Linked DNA regions of Tribolium castaneum. The protein of the gene in region 1 purifies or fractionates together with the protein of each later gene. This does not show direct contact. Links are inferred from orthologs where the notes say so. Each region holds a gene or a part of one and is shown in the gene's direction. Other genes may lie near its edges.

Evidence for each region.
Region 2: the proteins of Polr2B (region 1) and Fcp1 purify together in Homo sapiens (affinity purification with mass spectrometry; 3 studies listed by BioGRID and IntAct, with this or other methods). This does not show direct contact. The link is inferred for Tribolium castaneum from reciprocal best matches to the Homo sapiens genes POLR2B and CTDP1.
Region 3: the proteins of Polr2B (region 1) and regulation of nuclear pre-mRNA domain-containing protein 1B purify together in Homo sapiens (affinity purification with mass spectrometry; 4 studies listed by BioGRID and IntAct, counting the BioPlex papers as one, with this or other methods). This does not show direct contact. The link is inferred for Tribolium castaneum from reciprocal best matches to the Homo sapiens genes POLR2B and RPRD1B.

Annotation. Positions count from the first base shown.
Region 1 is NC_087395.1:24,234,855-24,239,035, reverse strand, and holds the start of Polr2B (DNA-directed RNA polymerase II subunit RPB2), read left to right. Parts: upstream 1-1,381; 5' UTR 1,382-1,520; coding exon 1,521-1,539; intron 1,540-1,597; coding exon 1,598-3,756; intron 3,757-3,808; coding exon 3,809-4,053; intron 4,054-4,113; coding exon 4,114-4,181. Other genes in the region: uncharacterized protein Rsod, read left to right, coding at 19-105, 152-286, 336-891, 936-1,036. UniProt on the Homo sapiens protein: Catalytic core component of RNA polymerase II (Pol II), a DNA-dependent RNA polymerase which synthesizes mRNA precursors and many functional non-coding RNAs using the four ribonucleoside triphosphates as substrates.
Region 2 is NC_087396.1:10,631,703-10,637,847, forward strand, and holds Fcp1 (RNA polymerase II subunit A C-terminal domain phosphatase), read left to right. Parts: upstream 1-2,388; 5' UTR 2,389-2,428; coding exon 2,429-2,646; intron 2,647-2,697; coding exon 2,698-2,851; intron 2,852-2,904; coding exon 2,905-3,275; intron 3,276-3,756; coding exon 3,757-4,918; intron 4,919-5,383; coding exon 5,384-5,755; 3' UTR 5,756-5,934; downstream 5,935-6,145. Other genes in the region: Rab2 (ras-related protein Rab-2), read left to right, coding at 634-679, 909-1,224, 1,281-1,461, 1,687-1,785; mRpS17 (small ribosomal subunit protein uS17m), read right to left, coding at 5,971-6,145. UniProt on the Homo sapiens protein: Processively dephosphorylates 'Ser-2' and 'Ser-5' of the heptad repeats YSPTSPS in the C-terminal domain of the largest RNA polymerase II subunit. This promotes the activity of RNA polymerase II.
Region 3 is NC_087394.1:892,781-898,547, reverse strand, and holds regulation of nuclear pre-mRNA domain-containing protein 1B, read left to right. Parts: upstream 1-2,191; 5' UTR 2,192-2,302; coding exon 2,303-2,453; intron 2,454-2,505; coding exon 2,506-2,739; intron 2,740-2,790; coding exon 2,791-3,075; intron 3,076-3,624; coding exon 3,625-3,800; intron 3,801-3,854; coding exon 3,855-4,001; 3' UTR 4,002-4,152; downstream 4,153-5,767. Other genes in the region: uncharacterized protein tfc, read right to left, coding at 991-1,066; Oseg2 (intraflagellar transport protein 172 homolog), read right to left, coding at 4,153-4,386, 4,765-5,205, 5,262-5,563. UniProt on the Homo sapiens protein: Interacts with phosphorylated C-terminal heptapeptide repeat domain (CTD) of the largest RNA polymerase II subunit POLR2A, and participates in dephosphorylation of the CTD by RPAP2. Transcriptional regulator which enhances expression of CCND1.

The DNA of each region.
Region 1 (4,181 bases):
TAATTTTTGCAATTGCAGAAACAACTAATTTACAATGACGGTAGCAAGAGTGACACCACGATCGAAGTCAAACTGCGGCATCCTGGGAAAAACGACCGGAATGTGGTACGTGTCTCCAGTGGTTTATTTTTAATGGTACTATTTTGAACAGACCAGGGACCATGACTGGGCCATTTACGTGAACCCAGTGGGCGTGGACGCGGCCGTCAAGACCCAGAACACGCGGTGTGTGGCCGGGGGCTACATCTGGAACCCCTATTTCACCCAACTGGCCGACCCCCTCAATGTATATTTTGCTTTTTTTTTAATTTTATAATATAATGTTCTGGTTTCAGGGTGATCTTTATCGGCAAGAGTGCGGGCCTGAGAACCCGCTCAGGTGCCACGTGGGGGACCTGTCGGCCCGTTTGGGGACCATCGACATCGGGCTCCAGCGCAAAGTCTTCACCGATGCGAATTTCCCGCTCGAAGGCGACGTCACGGCAATCGGGCGCTCCATCGTCATCATGAGCCCCAACAGACGTCCCGAACGTTACGCCTGTGCCAATATCGAGCCCGACTATGACATAATCAAGTACGCAAACATCGAAAAGCCCCCACGTTTTGTCCTGTCGCAGTTTATCGAAGAAGTGCGCGAAATTCTGGGAATCCCCGACTGGTTTTTGACCGTAGATTCGCGCAAAACCAAGTCTTTGCACAGCGACGCTTGCGTCCAGCTTTTGCTGCATTTTAAAGGACCGCTAGCTAACCGATTAGAGCAGGATTTCAGCCGATTGCTGGCAAGTGGGCGTTTAGACACCCCCACATTGTACATTCCAGGGTTTATTAATACGAAACGTAAGGTGAAAATTGCGTACAAGCAGTGTGGAGTACAAGACCCCAACGAGAAGAGTAAGTTTATGGATTAGGCGACAAAAAATGAGTGTATTTTGCAGGTAAAAAACGGACCGGATTTTTCTTTGCACGCTCAGGAAGCAACCCAGCCAAATTTGCTCACAGTCTGATTGTAGTGATAGTTTTAAGCTATTTATTGTAATGATATGACTGTTCCTAATAAAAAAGTAATATATTACCATGGAGTTTGAAATTTAGCGCCAATAATGAAGTCACGTGGTGCAATCCACAAAAAATCAAAAACGCAATATAATTAAAAAATTGGACTTGTTACCACTTACCTGACCTTTAAGTCACATTACAGATAATTATTAAATATTTTTTTGGTCGAATAGTGTAATTTAACATCGTATCTTGAAAATCTGGAGACTTTTTTGTTGTATGGTTACGTAACACTTCAAGGTCATTGCAGGAAAATAAAAAATTGGGCCGTATTTAACAAGTTTTTTATTTGTTTTCCAAAGTATTGTGTTTGGGGCTACCCCCCGAACATAAAATATTAATTTATTTCACAAAATAAGGGTTTTCTTGGGGTCCCCATACAAAGTCAACTGACACTTGACAGACGCTCAAAACTTGTGTTTTGTGCGTCTCATTTGTGCCCCATTTTTTGCAAATAATCAGCAATGTATGAACAAGACGAAGGTACGCAATCCCCCTTGAGTAGCCCCCGAGCCATTTGTAACAAAAACCGGCTTTTCAGACCAATTCGACGATGAAGAGTCTGAAGAAATCAGCTCCGAGTTGTGGCAAGAGGCCTGCTGGATCGTCATCAACGCCTATTTCGACGAAAAAGGCCTCGTCCGGCAACAACTGGACAGTTTCGACGAGTTTATCCAAATGTCGGTGCAACGAATCGTCGAAGACTCGCCCCAAATCGACCTCCAAGCCGAGGCACAGCACACAAGCGGCGAGCTTGAAAACCCCTCTCGGTATTTACTGAAATTCGAGCAGATCTACCTATCCAAACCGACCCATTGGGAGAAAGACGGCGCCCCCTCGCCCATGATGCCCAACGAGGCCCGCTTGCGCAACCTGACCTACTCGGCCCCCTTGTACGTCGATATCACCAAGACCATAGTCAAGGACGGCGAGGACCCCATTGAGACCCAGCACCAGAAAACCTTCATCGGGAAAATCCCGATTATGCTCCGATCCACGTACTGTCTCCTCAACGGTCTAACCGACCGCGACTTGACCGAACTCAACGAGTGCCCCCTTGACCCCGGCGGCTACTTCATCATCAACGGCTCAGAGAAAGTCCTAATCGCCCAGGAGAAAATGGCCACGAACACCGTCTACGTCTTCTCGATGAAAGACGGGAAATACGCCTTCAAATCCGAAATCCGCTCCTGTCTCGAGCACAGCTCGCGCCCCACGTCCACCCTCTGGGTCAACATGATGGCACGTGGGGGCCAGGCGATCAAAAAGGCCGCCATCGGGCAACGAATCATCGCGATCTTGCCCTACATCAAGCAGGAGATCCCCATCATGATCGTGTTCCGGGCCTTGGGGTTCGTGGCCGATCGGGACATCCTCGAGCACATTATTTACGACTTCGAAGACCCCGAGATGATGGAAATGGTGAAACCGTCCCTGGACGAAGCGTTCGTGATCCAGGAACAGAACATCGCACTCAACTTCATTGGGACCAGGGGGGCCCGGCCGGGCGTCACCAAAGAAAAGCGTATCAAATACGCGCGAGAGATCCTCCAGAAGGAGATGCTGCCCCACGTTGGAGTGTCCGATTTTTGCGAGACGAAAAAAGCCTACTTTTTGGGGTACATGGTGCACCGGTTGCTCCTGGCGGCTTTGGGGCGCCGCGAGCTGGACGATCGGGATCACTACGGTAACAAACGACTGGACTTGGCGGGGCCCCTGCTTGCGTTTTTGTTCCGTGGGTTGTTTAAAAACTTGATGAAGGAAGTACGGATGTATGCCCAGAAATTTATTGATCGGGGCAAAGACTTTAACCTCGACTTGGCCATTAAGACTAAGTTGATTACGGACGGGTTGAGGTATTCTCTGGCGACTGGTAACTGGGGGGACCAGAAGAAGGCCCACCAGGCCAGAGCCGGTGTCTCGCAGGTGTTGAACCGTTTGACTTTTGCCTCGACTTTGTCGCACTTGAGACGTGTTAATTCGCCCATTGGACGTGACGGGAAGTTGGCGAAGCCCCGACAGTTGCACAACACGCTCTGGGGGATGATTTGTCCGGCGGAGACACCAGAAGGGGCGGCTGTTGGTCTGGTGAAAAATCTGGCCCTCATGGCGTATATTTCGGTGGGGTCGCAACCCTCTCCAATTTTGGAGTTTTTGGAGGAGTGGTCGATGGAGAATTTGGAGGAGATTGCGCCGTCTGCCATAGCCAACGCGACCAAGATTTTTGTTAATGGTTGCTGGGTGGGAATTCACAGGGACCCCGAACAGTTGATGGCGACGTTACGCAAGTTGAGGAGACAGATGGATATTATTGTGTCGGAGGTTTCCATGATTCGGGATATTCGGGACCGGGAGATTCGCATTTACACGGATGCTGGACGGATTTGTCGGCCGTTACTAATCGTGGAAAATGGGACTTTATTGTTGAAGAAGCGCCACATTGATATGTTGAAAGAGAGGGAATATAATAACTACGGGTGGCAGGTTTTGGTGGCTTCAGGGGTTGTCGAATATATCGATACTTTGGAAGAGGAGACTGTGATGATTGCGATGTCTCCGGACGATTTGAGACAGGAGAAGGAATACGCGTATTGTACCACTTACACACATTGTGAGATCCATCCAGCTATGATTTTGGGTGTTTGTGCCAGTATTATACCCTTCCCGGATCACAACCAGAGTCCCAGAAACACATATCAAGTATTTGTTTTGGTGTTGTTTGAATTTTTTTAGTAATTAATTTTTTCCTCAGAGTGCTATGGGCAAGCAAGCCATGGGTGTGTACATCACCAACTTCCATGTCCGCATGGACACCCTTGCCCACGTCCTGTATTACCCCCACAAACCGTTGGTTACAACCAGATCAATGGAATATCTCAGATTCAGGGAATTACCGGCTGGGATTAACAGCATCGTGGCCATTGCGTGTTACACCGGTTATAACCAGGAGGATTCGGTTATTTTGAACGCGTCGGCCGTCGAAAGGGGATTTTTCCGGTGAGTATTAAAAAAAAGTAATATAGTAGAAATAAAATAATTTGTTATTTTGTGCTTTAGATCTGTGTTTTACCGCTCGTACAAGGACGCCGAATCGAAACGCATCGGCGACCAAGAGGAGCAGTTCG
Region 2 (6,145 bases), on another chromosome or scaffold:
TTTGCACAAACTATTAAAAGCACTATTTTTCTGTGAAAATTGAATTGGGCACATGTCTAAAACTCCAATAGTACCTTATTAGGGTCCGTATTTACTTATTTAGTTCTTTAATTTTTTTCCAAGTTACAAAATAATGTTAAATAACCGTTTTTTGAGGGTGAGGAAGTCGCCAAATTAATATGTGGAAGCCAAACACGACATTTATTTCTTATAATTGATATTTTCATAATTTGTGAAACGTTAATTTATTAATAAATTATTTTCATTCATTGTATTTATTTTTTCTTTATATTTATAATACTAACAAAATTTTGCAATTAAACACATTTAACTGATTTTCAATAAAATCGGTTATGTGTGTTTAAATTGTAAAAAAATAAAAAAATTAAATTAATTGTGTAAATAATAAAATATTTAAATTTGCCGCCAATTTTAGTTCCTCATACTACCAAGATATGGCGCTATTATCGAAATTTTGACGACCAGTGAATTACGTGTTACTTGATTTTCTATAACTACTATATTCTATGCATTCAGCAGACAGCTGTCATCTTTTTACGAAGTTGATAAATTCGGTGATAAGCCGTGAAGTAATTAGAGCAAGTTGTTAGTTTATAGTTTCGTGTGGTGAAAATGTCGTACGCGTATCTGTTCAAGTACATTATAATAGGTGACACAGGTGGGTGTTGCTTCGGGTAATTCCCGTAAAAAATCATAATCGATTCGTTTAATTTTCTTGTATTTTGCGTATAACTCGTTTGTATTATTCATCTTGGATGGGTGTCAAGGTCTGTCTTTGTGTTTTAAACTTGTCCGGGATTCTGATTGGGGGAGGTGGAGTGTGTTTGGCATTCATTAAAATCAGCTTGATATGCTTATCGGACGTAAAGTAAACAATGGGGTTACAGGTGTGGGCAAGTCTTGCCTGTTACTACAGTTCACGGACAAGAGGTTCCAGCCAGTTCATGATTTGACAATCGGGGTGGAGTTTGGCGCTCGAATGATCACCATTGATGGCAAACAAATCAAATTACAAATTTGGGACACTGCCGGACAGGAGGCTTTTAGATCTATAACGCGGTCGTACTATCGGGGGGCTGCTGGCGCTCTTTTAGTTTATGACATTACGAGGAGGGAGACTTTCAACCATTTGACTACATGGCTTGATGATGCCCGCCAGCATTCCAACTCAAATATGGTCATCATGTTGATTGGAAACAAAAGGTGTTCATCCCGTTTTATTTTTTTTTTTTTCAAAAGTGTTAACTAAACCCTTCCAGTGATCTAGAGAGTAGGAGAGAAGTGAAAAAGGAAGAAGGAGAAGCTTTTGCCAGAGAACACGGACTAGTCTTTATGGAAACTTCAGCAAAAACGGCCGCCAACGTTGAAGAAGCGTTTATAAACACAGCAAAAGAGATCTATGAGAAAATACAAGAGGGAGTCTTTGACATTAACAATGAGGTAAATCAGCGGTTCTGCTCTGTTAAGCTAATTGGCATTTTCTAAAGGTTACACAAACTTTAGAAATCAATAATTTTATACATTAGCAAGTTCATTACCCCATTTTTGGTGATACTTTCTTCTGACTTTGAAATTAAGTTGGCAGCTTGAGACGTCACACGTATAGTGCTGCCAACTCAAATTCACAACTATTGTGTTTTAAATTTTGTTGTTGAAATTGTGCAGGCAAATGGAATCAAGATTGGCCCCCAACATTCCCCCACAAATCCATCGCTTCCTGGTGCAGGCGGCGCCGGGGGTTCGCAGGGTTCGAGTTGCTGTTAAGATGACTTGTCTGTCTTGAGGGTTACATTATGTGTAAGAGAGAAACCCTTATTAAAGAATTGAAAGTGACTGCACAGGTTTATTACATAAATTAATGATCTGATATCTTCCAAATTAGCAAGTTGCACTTTACCCCATCGTTCAACAACCTTTAGAGACAAAACTTTTCAAATATTTTGATACATATGGTGATATTGGCCCCCACTAATTTATGTAATGAAAGGATTATTATTGTGATTATTTTAAGAGTGTGGTATAGTTAGTCCAATACAGGTCACATATTTATTGTTTTGAGTTCATATTTTATAGAGTACCAACCGAAAAGCCGTTTCAGAAGCATTACATCTTACTTTAAACCAACTTTATTTTTGTTATTGGTGATAATAGTGTTATGTGTTTTATTGCGACTATTATACTTAATTAAGAAATGTAGTGTTTATCTCATTAAATAAATTTGTATTGTAAAACGTCAAATTTTTTATGTAAGCTTCATGTAATATAATCAAATATAAGTTGTATTGCCAGTTTGTGTTTGTTTTACCCAAAATTTGAAACGGGCGCGTGAGTAATGGCACCCGGAAGTGCACGCGTCGTCCAATCAGGCCGCGTTCTGCGTTCATGAGTGAAGTCGTTTCCGTGCAAGATGGCGGAAAAAACTATGTGCATATCACAGCAACAAACAAAACCTATAAAAATTTTAAAATGGAAAGTGAGCGAAGGGAACACTGTCTCGATCGGAAGAGTAATCCTTCTGTATGATTTTGACGGGGCTTCCAAGGTGGAACAACGCAAGTTGAAGGTAACACAGGCCGGAACAATTTTTAAGATTGTGGCGCAGGAAGGCGCCATTGTCAAGCCAGGGTAAGCAACAGTTTTGAAAAGGCGCGCGAAAGCTCACGCTCGAATTTTCAGCGAGACTTTGTGCGAATTGAAAGAATGCACGCATCCGACGGTGATGAACGACATGTGCGCAGAATGCGGCACGGATTTGAGGAAAAACGACGTCAGTGTGGCGGCTTCCGTGCCCATGGTGCATGCCATACCTGACTTGAAAGTCAGCGAAGAGGTGGTTGCGTTATATAAAATGCCGCTGCGGGGGTTTGACTTGCATTGTTGCAGCTTGCACAGAAACTCGGCAAAGCGGACGTTGATCGGCTTATTAGAGACAGGAAACTTGTCCTGCTTGTGGACTTGGATCAGACCTTGATCCACACAACCAATGACCACATTCAGCCGAACATCAAGGATATCTATCGCTTTCAGTTATACGGGCCCAATTCACCTTGGTACTTCACAAGGTTGAGGCCCGGAACCCATCAGTTTTTGAACAATATTTACCCGTTTTACGAGCTGCATATTTGCACCTTTGGCGCAAGGAATTACGCACATATGATTGCTGCGGTTCTGGACAGGGACCAGAAGTTTTTCTCAAATCGTATTCTCTCGCGGGATGAGTGTTTTGACCCAACTAGCAAAAAGGCGAACTTAAAGTACGTATTTGAAAAGAAAAATCTGAAAAATCATTCCGTTATTCCTGTTTTTTGAGTCTTTCAAAATCATAAGTAAATAGTTTTTCTCTTCAAGTGTTTTTGAATCACTTTGCATATGTTCACTCTACCATATTTGAGTGTAGAAGGTCTAGCTTTCGAAAAAAAAAAGGCAAAAATGAGACCAGGATGAAAAACTTGATAAATTCGGACAAGAAAGCAAAATTAAAAGTAATTTTTGCCTTAATTACTCTCAAATCGAAGGTACTTTAAGACGAACTTGCACAATAAATAAATATATCGGATTAAAAATTTAAAACCAACTTGTTAAACTGAGAGAAGCAAGCTAAAGTAACAGTTTCGATCTAATTTTCTAGTCTTAGACTATCTTCGTGATATTTAAAACAACAATTGTGCTAAAAGTTCGCGAAAATATTTTTTTATATTTTTTGATACGCTGTGTTACATAATTTTTTATATTTAGGGCTCTATTTCCTTGCGGGGACAACATGGTGTGTATTATTGACGACAGAGAGGACGTGTGGTCGAACGCCGCAAATTTGATTCATGTCAAGCCGTACCATTTTTTTCAACACACCGGCGACATAAACGCACCCCCTGGTTTAGACAAACATGAAAATGATAACAAGGGAGTTGATTTAACAAAAATTAAAGACCAGAAAAAAGACGAACAAATCCAGAATAACGATAGTAAAGCGACAGAAAATGACAGTGAGAAAAATGGTGAAAATGTCGAGGAAAGTAAAGTTGAGAATCAGGTTTCAAATGAATCTGAGAGTACAAAAAACGAGAGTAAAGAAAATACCGAAGATAGTGAAGGAAATAATAAAGTAGATGAAAATAAAAACGGTGACGACAGTAGCGAACAAAAAATTGAAAATGTTGAATCTAAAGGTGTGAATGGTGAAGCAGTAACTAATGACGAAAAGCCTCCACCTGAAGAAAGTAAAACGCAAACGGAAGGGGACACCAAAACTGAAACCCCTCCGGAAACAAAAAACGCAATCGAAATAAACAATCATTTAGTAGAAGTTGAAGACCCCGATGACTATCTCTCCTATCTAGAAGATATACTAAAACGTATTCATCAAGCTTTCTATGACGCTTATGATAAAATGGAATCGGGAGAGGTTCCCGACTTGAAGAAGGTGATTCCCGGGGTGCGAAGTCAGGTGCTACAGGGCTACAAGCTGGTTTTTAGCGGGTTGGTGCCAACTCACATCAAATTAGAACAATCAAAAGCGTACCAAATCGCCAAGAGTTTGGGTGCTGAAGTTACGCAAGAGCTGGAGGACGACACGACACATTTGGTGGCTGTTAGGCCAGGCACTGCTAAGGTGAACGCCGGCAGAAGAAAGAAGAACTTGAAGATTGTTACACCCGATTGGCTGTGGTGTTGTGCAGAACGGTGGGAGCACGTAGACGAGAAGATTTTTGCTTTGAATAGCAAAGGCTCAAAAAACCGGCATCCACCGCCTCATTGCAGCAGTCCAGAGCATATTATAAGTTATCCAGAGCACAATACGCCCGCTATGCGAAAAAGGACACCCAGTGGAAGGTTTATGGACACGATTAATCCTCTCATGTCGTTTTCCAGCGCAGATATAGCGGATATGGATAAGGAGGTAAGGTTAAAAATTAGGTGAAAGGGGAATACGTTTATTGTGTTCCTAAACCGGACACTAGGGTACCAGCTATAGAAAAAAAGCGTTGTCCATAAAATCTTAATTAAATTTGCAGCAACCAAGACTTTTATTTAATAAAAAATCGTCAATTAAAAATAATGTAGGGCGACGAATTTGTTTTCAACCAACTTCAGTTAGGATCTTCTTTATCTGACAAACTGGTCGAAAGTCGGCAATTAGTTTTATTCAGTTTGACATTTTGTTTTATAATTACAAACGTTTTTTTTTTTTGGTACTCTTGCCTTTTGCGGTTGGGGGCAATGTAATTATGAATATTTGTTCAAAATTGTAATTAAAAAATGGTTGGTTGATGCAAATTCTCACTTTATTTAAAACAGAAAAATAGTTCGTGCATGTCTTTGTTGCCCCTTTGAGGTTGTCGCTGATGGTTTAATTCTTCCACAGGTTGAAGACATTTTGGACGACGAAAGTGATAGCAGCGACGAAGAGAAGAACGCGAAAGCAACTGTTGTCAATTCTGAAGAAGTACACGAAAATAGTAGCAGTAGTGACGATTCTCTAGGTGAACATCCAAAAGGCTTCAAGAGAAAAAGAGAAGGTGGGGACGAAGCTGAAATTGATCTCAATAATAGTACAGAAGATGATGAAACGCCTAGTGTCAAGTTCCGAAGGGGAGAGACTGTAGATAGTGAAGTGGATATGGAACCTGATTCGCAAGATAGTGACGGAAGTGTGGAAGCTCCAGACGAAGTGGACGATGGAGAGTGGAATATGATGGGTGCCGCCCTTGAACGAGAATTCTTGTCAAATAATTAGAAATAATTTTTTAAGCCATCGATTATTTTTTTAGACTTGCAGTATTAATAGTAACAATGAAATCTGTTACCTGAATAATTTCACGCTGAAGGATTCTTATTTATATATATAGAATGTTAATGTAATTATTTTTAATTGAATGCTGTGCAGAGTTTCAAATAAAGACTGTTGACAACTTACTTTTTAATACAACTACTTGAACAACAATAAAGGTTTTAGACGGCATAAGGATCGTCTTTTCCTGAATCGTGGTACTTGATGTATGTTTGTACATGAGTGAAGTCTTTCTTGTCTTCTTGCCAGCCCCTTGGTGGTGCTTTATCATATTTAAATGCTCCTTCCTTTTCACCATACACCTTGTTTACCGAATCAACGAAATCTCTGTACTTT
Region 3 (5,767 bases), on another chromosome or scaffold:
TTAACATTTTTATTTACAAAAATTTTCGAAAAGGTATTTAAAAATACTGGGTAATACTGGGTAATTTACTGGGTAAATAATGTCATTTTTGTCTCAATTTTTTGACTTATTTGGCCCTATTATTCATTGATGTGAAAAAATGTCTAATAATTGTCTAGAAAATGTAAAAATAAAGTCATTTTCGGTTTTATTTAGTATCTTTTTTTTCTGGCTTAATTCAAAAGTAATCCTAAAGTCTTGAAAATTAGTAAAAATTACGCTATTTTTAAACAAATTTGGTAATTTTTAAAATTCTTCTTGGCAAATTATTCACCTTTTAAACATTGAACCCTCATAATTTTTTTTAAACAAAACGTGTTTGTAACGTAAGAAAACAATTAAAAATGCTTAAAAATATTTGTAGGTTTTTTAATTTATAAGAAGAAGAGTTTTGTTTGGAGAGATTTCAAAATTATCATTTTCCATAACTCTTATACATTCCATCCCATTTTTTCAGAACTGTCTTATATAAAATCTTCACAATTTTATAAATTATTCATTGACACCGACTCAGATACATAAACAAGCGCTTTTTTCATAATGACTGAAACGTCCATAAAAGTTTGTTCACCGGTTTTCCAAGAAATGTGAGATCAACGACCAAATATTTTTTGTTAATACAGTTTAAAAAAAAATCACCAGAACTTTATAATTTGTAAACCGTCTGGTATTTTTACAAGCACATACAGACATTAGAAAGTTACATAAGAACAAAAGTGTTTGATGAAATTTCACTTTTGTACTCACATTTGAAAATTGAATTTTTCAAATTATGCTCAGACAACATTCCTTACATGAACTTAATACCCGAGATAACATCACAATTGGAATTGTTGCAGTGAAGGACAACATGTGACTATATCAGATCACACTAAATTTGCAGTTAAACAAAATAAATTATAAAACGAAATGTGTTATTATTTTTTTCTGTAAAGTAGAATATTTATTCACCATTTCTGAAGTTGTTTCCGGAGTCGCACTGTGTCGCAAGCACCAAAGCGAAAATCGCGATTATTTGCGGTCGCATTTTGTCGCATTTATTTACGGAAGATGGTCACGACACGAACGAAACGTTGGACAAACTGTCCGACAACTCGAGAGCACCTGTGTAGAGCAGACAGTGGGAAAGTGTTTATGGCTTGAAAGTGGAATACGAGAGTATAATATTCTAGGTTTAGGTCTCTTATTGCAGCTTTCATTTTCAAGCAACATCCTTGATAGATATTAGACTTTACTTTTATGAATTTGATTTTTTCAGACTTGCAGTTAGTTTGTTCAGATTTGTAAATGATTTTGAATAAATTCAAAAAAAAGAGGTAGGTAATAATTGAAATTAAAAAACGGAACTAACGGTCGCCAATGAACTGTCTGGAACATTTTACGATGTAACACAAAAATAAAATTTACTAGGTTCGAACTGATAAAATTCATAAAATTACTAGATTTTTTATTTTATTTTACGATTTGTGCTCAAAAACGTGCTCAAGCACTGAAAAAAGTCAAAAACAGCACCATTTTTGCCCAAATTTGGCTATTTTTAGCATGACAAAGTTACAAAAAAAAAACAAAATGTGAAAAAGGCAAAAATATTTATTTGGGGATTTTTCGATTTATTCTACAAAGAATTTCGTAAGAGAATTAATATGTATTTTGACTTTATTTATAGTGATTTTTATGTCTGTTTTAGCAAAGTTCCATAAATTTTAAAAACGCGCTAAATAGAAGTTTGAAAATGATAAAAGTAAGGTCATCTCCGGCTTTTTTGGTAATTTTTTAGAAAACTCTTGTAAAAAAACAAATATTTTAACGCAAAAGTGAGCTTAAAGTCTTTTAGGACCGGTTTATAAAAGCGTCATTAATTTAATCTGCAATTAAATGCGTGATGATCAAATTCAACCAATCAACAAATTAAAATTTAACGAAGCTTTCTATGAAACCAAAGATTATAAAACTACGCTATTTCTAACAAAATTTTTGGGATTCTTCTTGACTTGGTTTTGCACAAAAACTACCTAAATCGAGTAAAAAGGCAAACAATTTATGATTTTTAGCCATATTATTTATAACTAAAATATTGCAAATGCAATTTTAGCCAATTTTTTCCAATCTTTAAAAATGGCGCAACCTTATTCACATCCAAATCGCCACGTCTCGTATCCCTAACCACCTCCACCACGAAATGTCAACTTGTTGTGATTAGCAATATTTGTGGTTATATTTACACTTTTTTCCTAAGTTCTACAAAAAATACAAACCGTGTTAAATGGCAGGCTTTACCGAATCGGCTTTTATCAAAAAACTAAACGATTTAAACAATTCCTCGCAAAGTATACAAACCTTATCGTTTTGGTTAATCCATCACAGAAAACATTACAGTACAGTAGTGAAATTATGGGGCAGAGAACTGATCAAAGGTACGAAAACATTTGATTTTAATTTTACAAATCCACACTGGAGATATTTCAGCCAAGGACAGCAAAAAACTAACATTTATGTACTTGGCAAATGATGTAATTCAAAACAGCCGCAAAAAGGGCCCCGAATATGGCCAGGAATTTGGGGCTCACTTGAAAAAGGCCTTCGAGCACATGTCGGACGCCGAGGAAAAAACCATAAGTAGTTTAGAACGTTTATTAACAATTTGGAGCGAGAGGGGGATTTACAATGAGACACAAATTAGCGATTTTAGGAGTGCGTTAAGTGAGGTTATCTGAGTGTTGGTGGTCCAGTGGGCTGTGAAAATTGTTTTAGAAAAAGAAGGGCCGCCTTTGAAAAAAGTCAAAACCGATGGAAAAGCACCCAAAGAGAAGAAAAAGTCTGAACATGAGGTTACAGTTGAAGTGGACGGAATGGTGGAAACGCATGTGCACTTAAGTCCACATACGCCAGCTGGGGATCCCCCTGAACCTGAAGAACTAATCAAGGCAATCCAAGATTTGGAGAATAATATTGCGTCCGCTGATGAAGGGGTGCGGCAACGCATTGCTCAATTGCCGCCTTCGGTCACCGAAATTTCCTCAATAGCTAGCTTGCAAGGTTGGTTTTGTGATTAAATTAAGTTGACAATACATCAAAATCTTTCGAAAACGTTAAGCACAATATTTTTTACTTTAAGTCAAAAACTCACTTATTTCAAGAGATTTTGCTAAAGGTGACTAAGAAATCAAGTTTTCAAATGGGAAATTATGTTGTTTTTGTTTTTTTTTTTGAATTGTTTGAAATACAAAAACTTTCATTTTTCGTCAAAACTACCCAAAAATATTCCACAAATTAATCCACGAAAATTCTAAGACAAAAATTTGAGAATCGGTGAATACTTTGTTTTTTCAATGAGTTAGCACGTTTTTTAAACGGTTCAAAAATGCACTAAATTGGCTGTAAAAAAACCAATTTCAGCTTTTTTGGAAAATTTTAGCACGATTTTTTAGCCAGAAACAAACAAAATTCATCACATCACGTCAAAAATGGCATTACTTTTGCGCTCCTTGTGCGTTCTTTGGCAACATTGTTTGTCAAAGTAGTAATTCAGTATTGTCAACTTAACTTCAGTCACTTTGATCAAAAATTTATATTTTTTAAAATCAGATAAAGAGCAAGCCGAAAAACTGAGTCAACAAGTGAACGAAGCTGTGACGTTGTTAAATGAGTACAACAGTCGTCTCGCCGTTGAAATGGAACATCGCAAAAAAGTTTCGTCAATGATTCGAGACTTTCTTCAGGTGCAGCAAGAACTGTTGGCTCAAGCCGAGCAAAATCTAGAGGTAAATAACAGTGTTTTGTTTTATTTTATTTATTTATTTATTTAAAATTTCTAGGAATATCAAGATAAACTAATCAAAGTCTATAGTGTTCGAAACGAATTAAAATCTCACATTCAGAATTTACCCGATCTGACGCAACTCCCGAATGTGACCGACGGTTTAGCTCCATTACCCTCAGCTGAACATTTATTTATGCCTTAAATTGTGATTGATTTTTCACACAACAGTGTTTAAGTGTCGACTGGCGTTATTAGCTAAATTTTAATTAGAGCATTTCAACTATGATGCATATTTATTCAAGCACAGGGTGCGCTAGTTGTAGTTGTGAAAACAATTTTTAAATAAATTTGATTTATTGACTTGTCCCACACCACTTGTTAATAAACGACAAAACATTCGAAACATTTGACTCGGGCGACATTTTCGCACCCATATTCAGTTTCGACCAAACGTCTTTATTTGCCTGAAAATTCGACTTGGCAAAGGTTACAATTTGTTTCCGGACTGGATATCCGGAAACAACACACGGTTGTTCCCCTGGTTGTAAACAACTCTCGTATAACTGTCTGTCGTCCAAAGGCAACGTCTGAAAAAAAATTAAGTAAATAGCTATTTATACAGGATGTATATTATTGATATTTAAATAATTAAAAAATTAATATTTTTTACAAGTAACCCCCCAAGAATCGGAATTACACAGAACCATAAACGACAAAAAGTAACCGAAAGAAAAATTCAAAAACAATGATAATGCAGTGATCTGCGAAAAGAAAACAGACAGACAGAAAACAGAGTGAGTTAAGTAAAAGCTGTTAATAAGATTAATTTTTTTAACATTTAAAGGTTAATAATAAACTTTTTCCGCCGCGCTTTATAGAAATTCGTATGTTTCTCCCTCATTTGCAAATGCAAGCTAGTAAAGACAATTAGGGAGCAAAAAAATATTTTTATTAGTGCTAAATACCTGTTCAATTCTTTGGTCCATGCTCACTGTCAGCACCCATTCACGTACATTATCATGCTCTCGTGGGTCTTCACTTAGATACAAACGTCCAGGAAGTGGAATATTTGATGGAAAATCAGTTTGAACTAAATCTGAATGATCCACAAGTTGTCCTTCACCTTCTTCGATCGCTTCACACAAATCTAAATAATGATTCAAAAAAACGAAAGCTTCCGACAATCGACCTTCCTCTTTCAAGTCTTTTCCTGCTTCGTAAAATGCTTTATCAGCCGGTATTATATCAGTGTAACGTAATAATGCGGTACTTATTTTAACACCGATTGGTTTTAATGATGGTACTTGTCTACAAGCTGTACGAAGTGCATAATAGTGACTAATTAGTAACAAATTTCTAAAATGAAGCTTTGTTTCCATGTTGGTATTAGCAGCTAAACCTTCATTCTACAAATTAAGTTAGTTATTTTTGGTGAATTTATTTGATTTAGGAACTACTCAACTATTTCAAATAGCATTTGTCTGAGTTGTTCCCAAACGGCAAAACTTCCAGGTCCTGAAATATCCGATAAAGCAAACATTTCCGAAGCAATGTGGTTATAAATGTTGAAATTTTGTGGCATTGCTGGAGCTCCATGTGTTGAATAAAGATTTAAAGCTTCTTTTACGAAACCATCTTTGAGTAATTTTGCAGCATATAAAGCTACATATTTGTGTAATATGGGGGCGCTGTGTGTTTTGGCTTTTTCAATACATCGGGCCCATTGGCCTTGTTCGGCAAGCAAATCTAAGGCGCCGATTATGTCTAAAATTATAGTAAATAAATACTTGAAAAAAAAGTCGCAATAGTTTGATAATTTATTATTATTTTGAGGAAATTATTCCAAAAAAAACCACTCAATTGAGAAGTTTGGCCAAAAAATGGAGAAATTCGCAAAATTTTGGATAAGATTAAAAGACGCTATTTTTACATATTTCTCTAATTTTTAAGCGAAACATTAGTTAAACA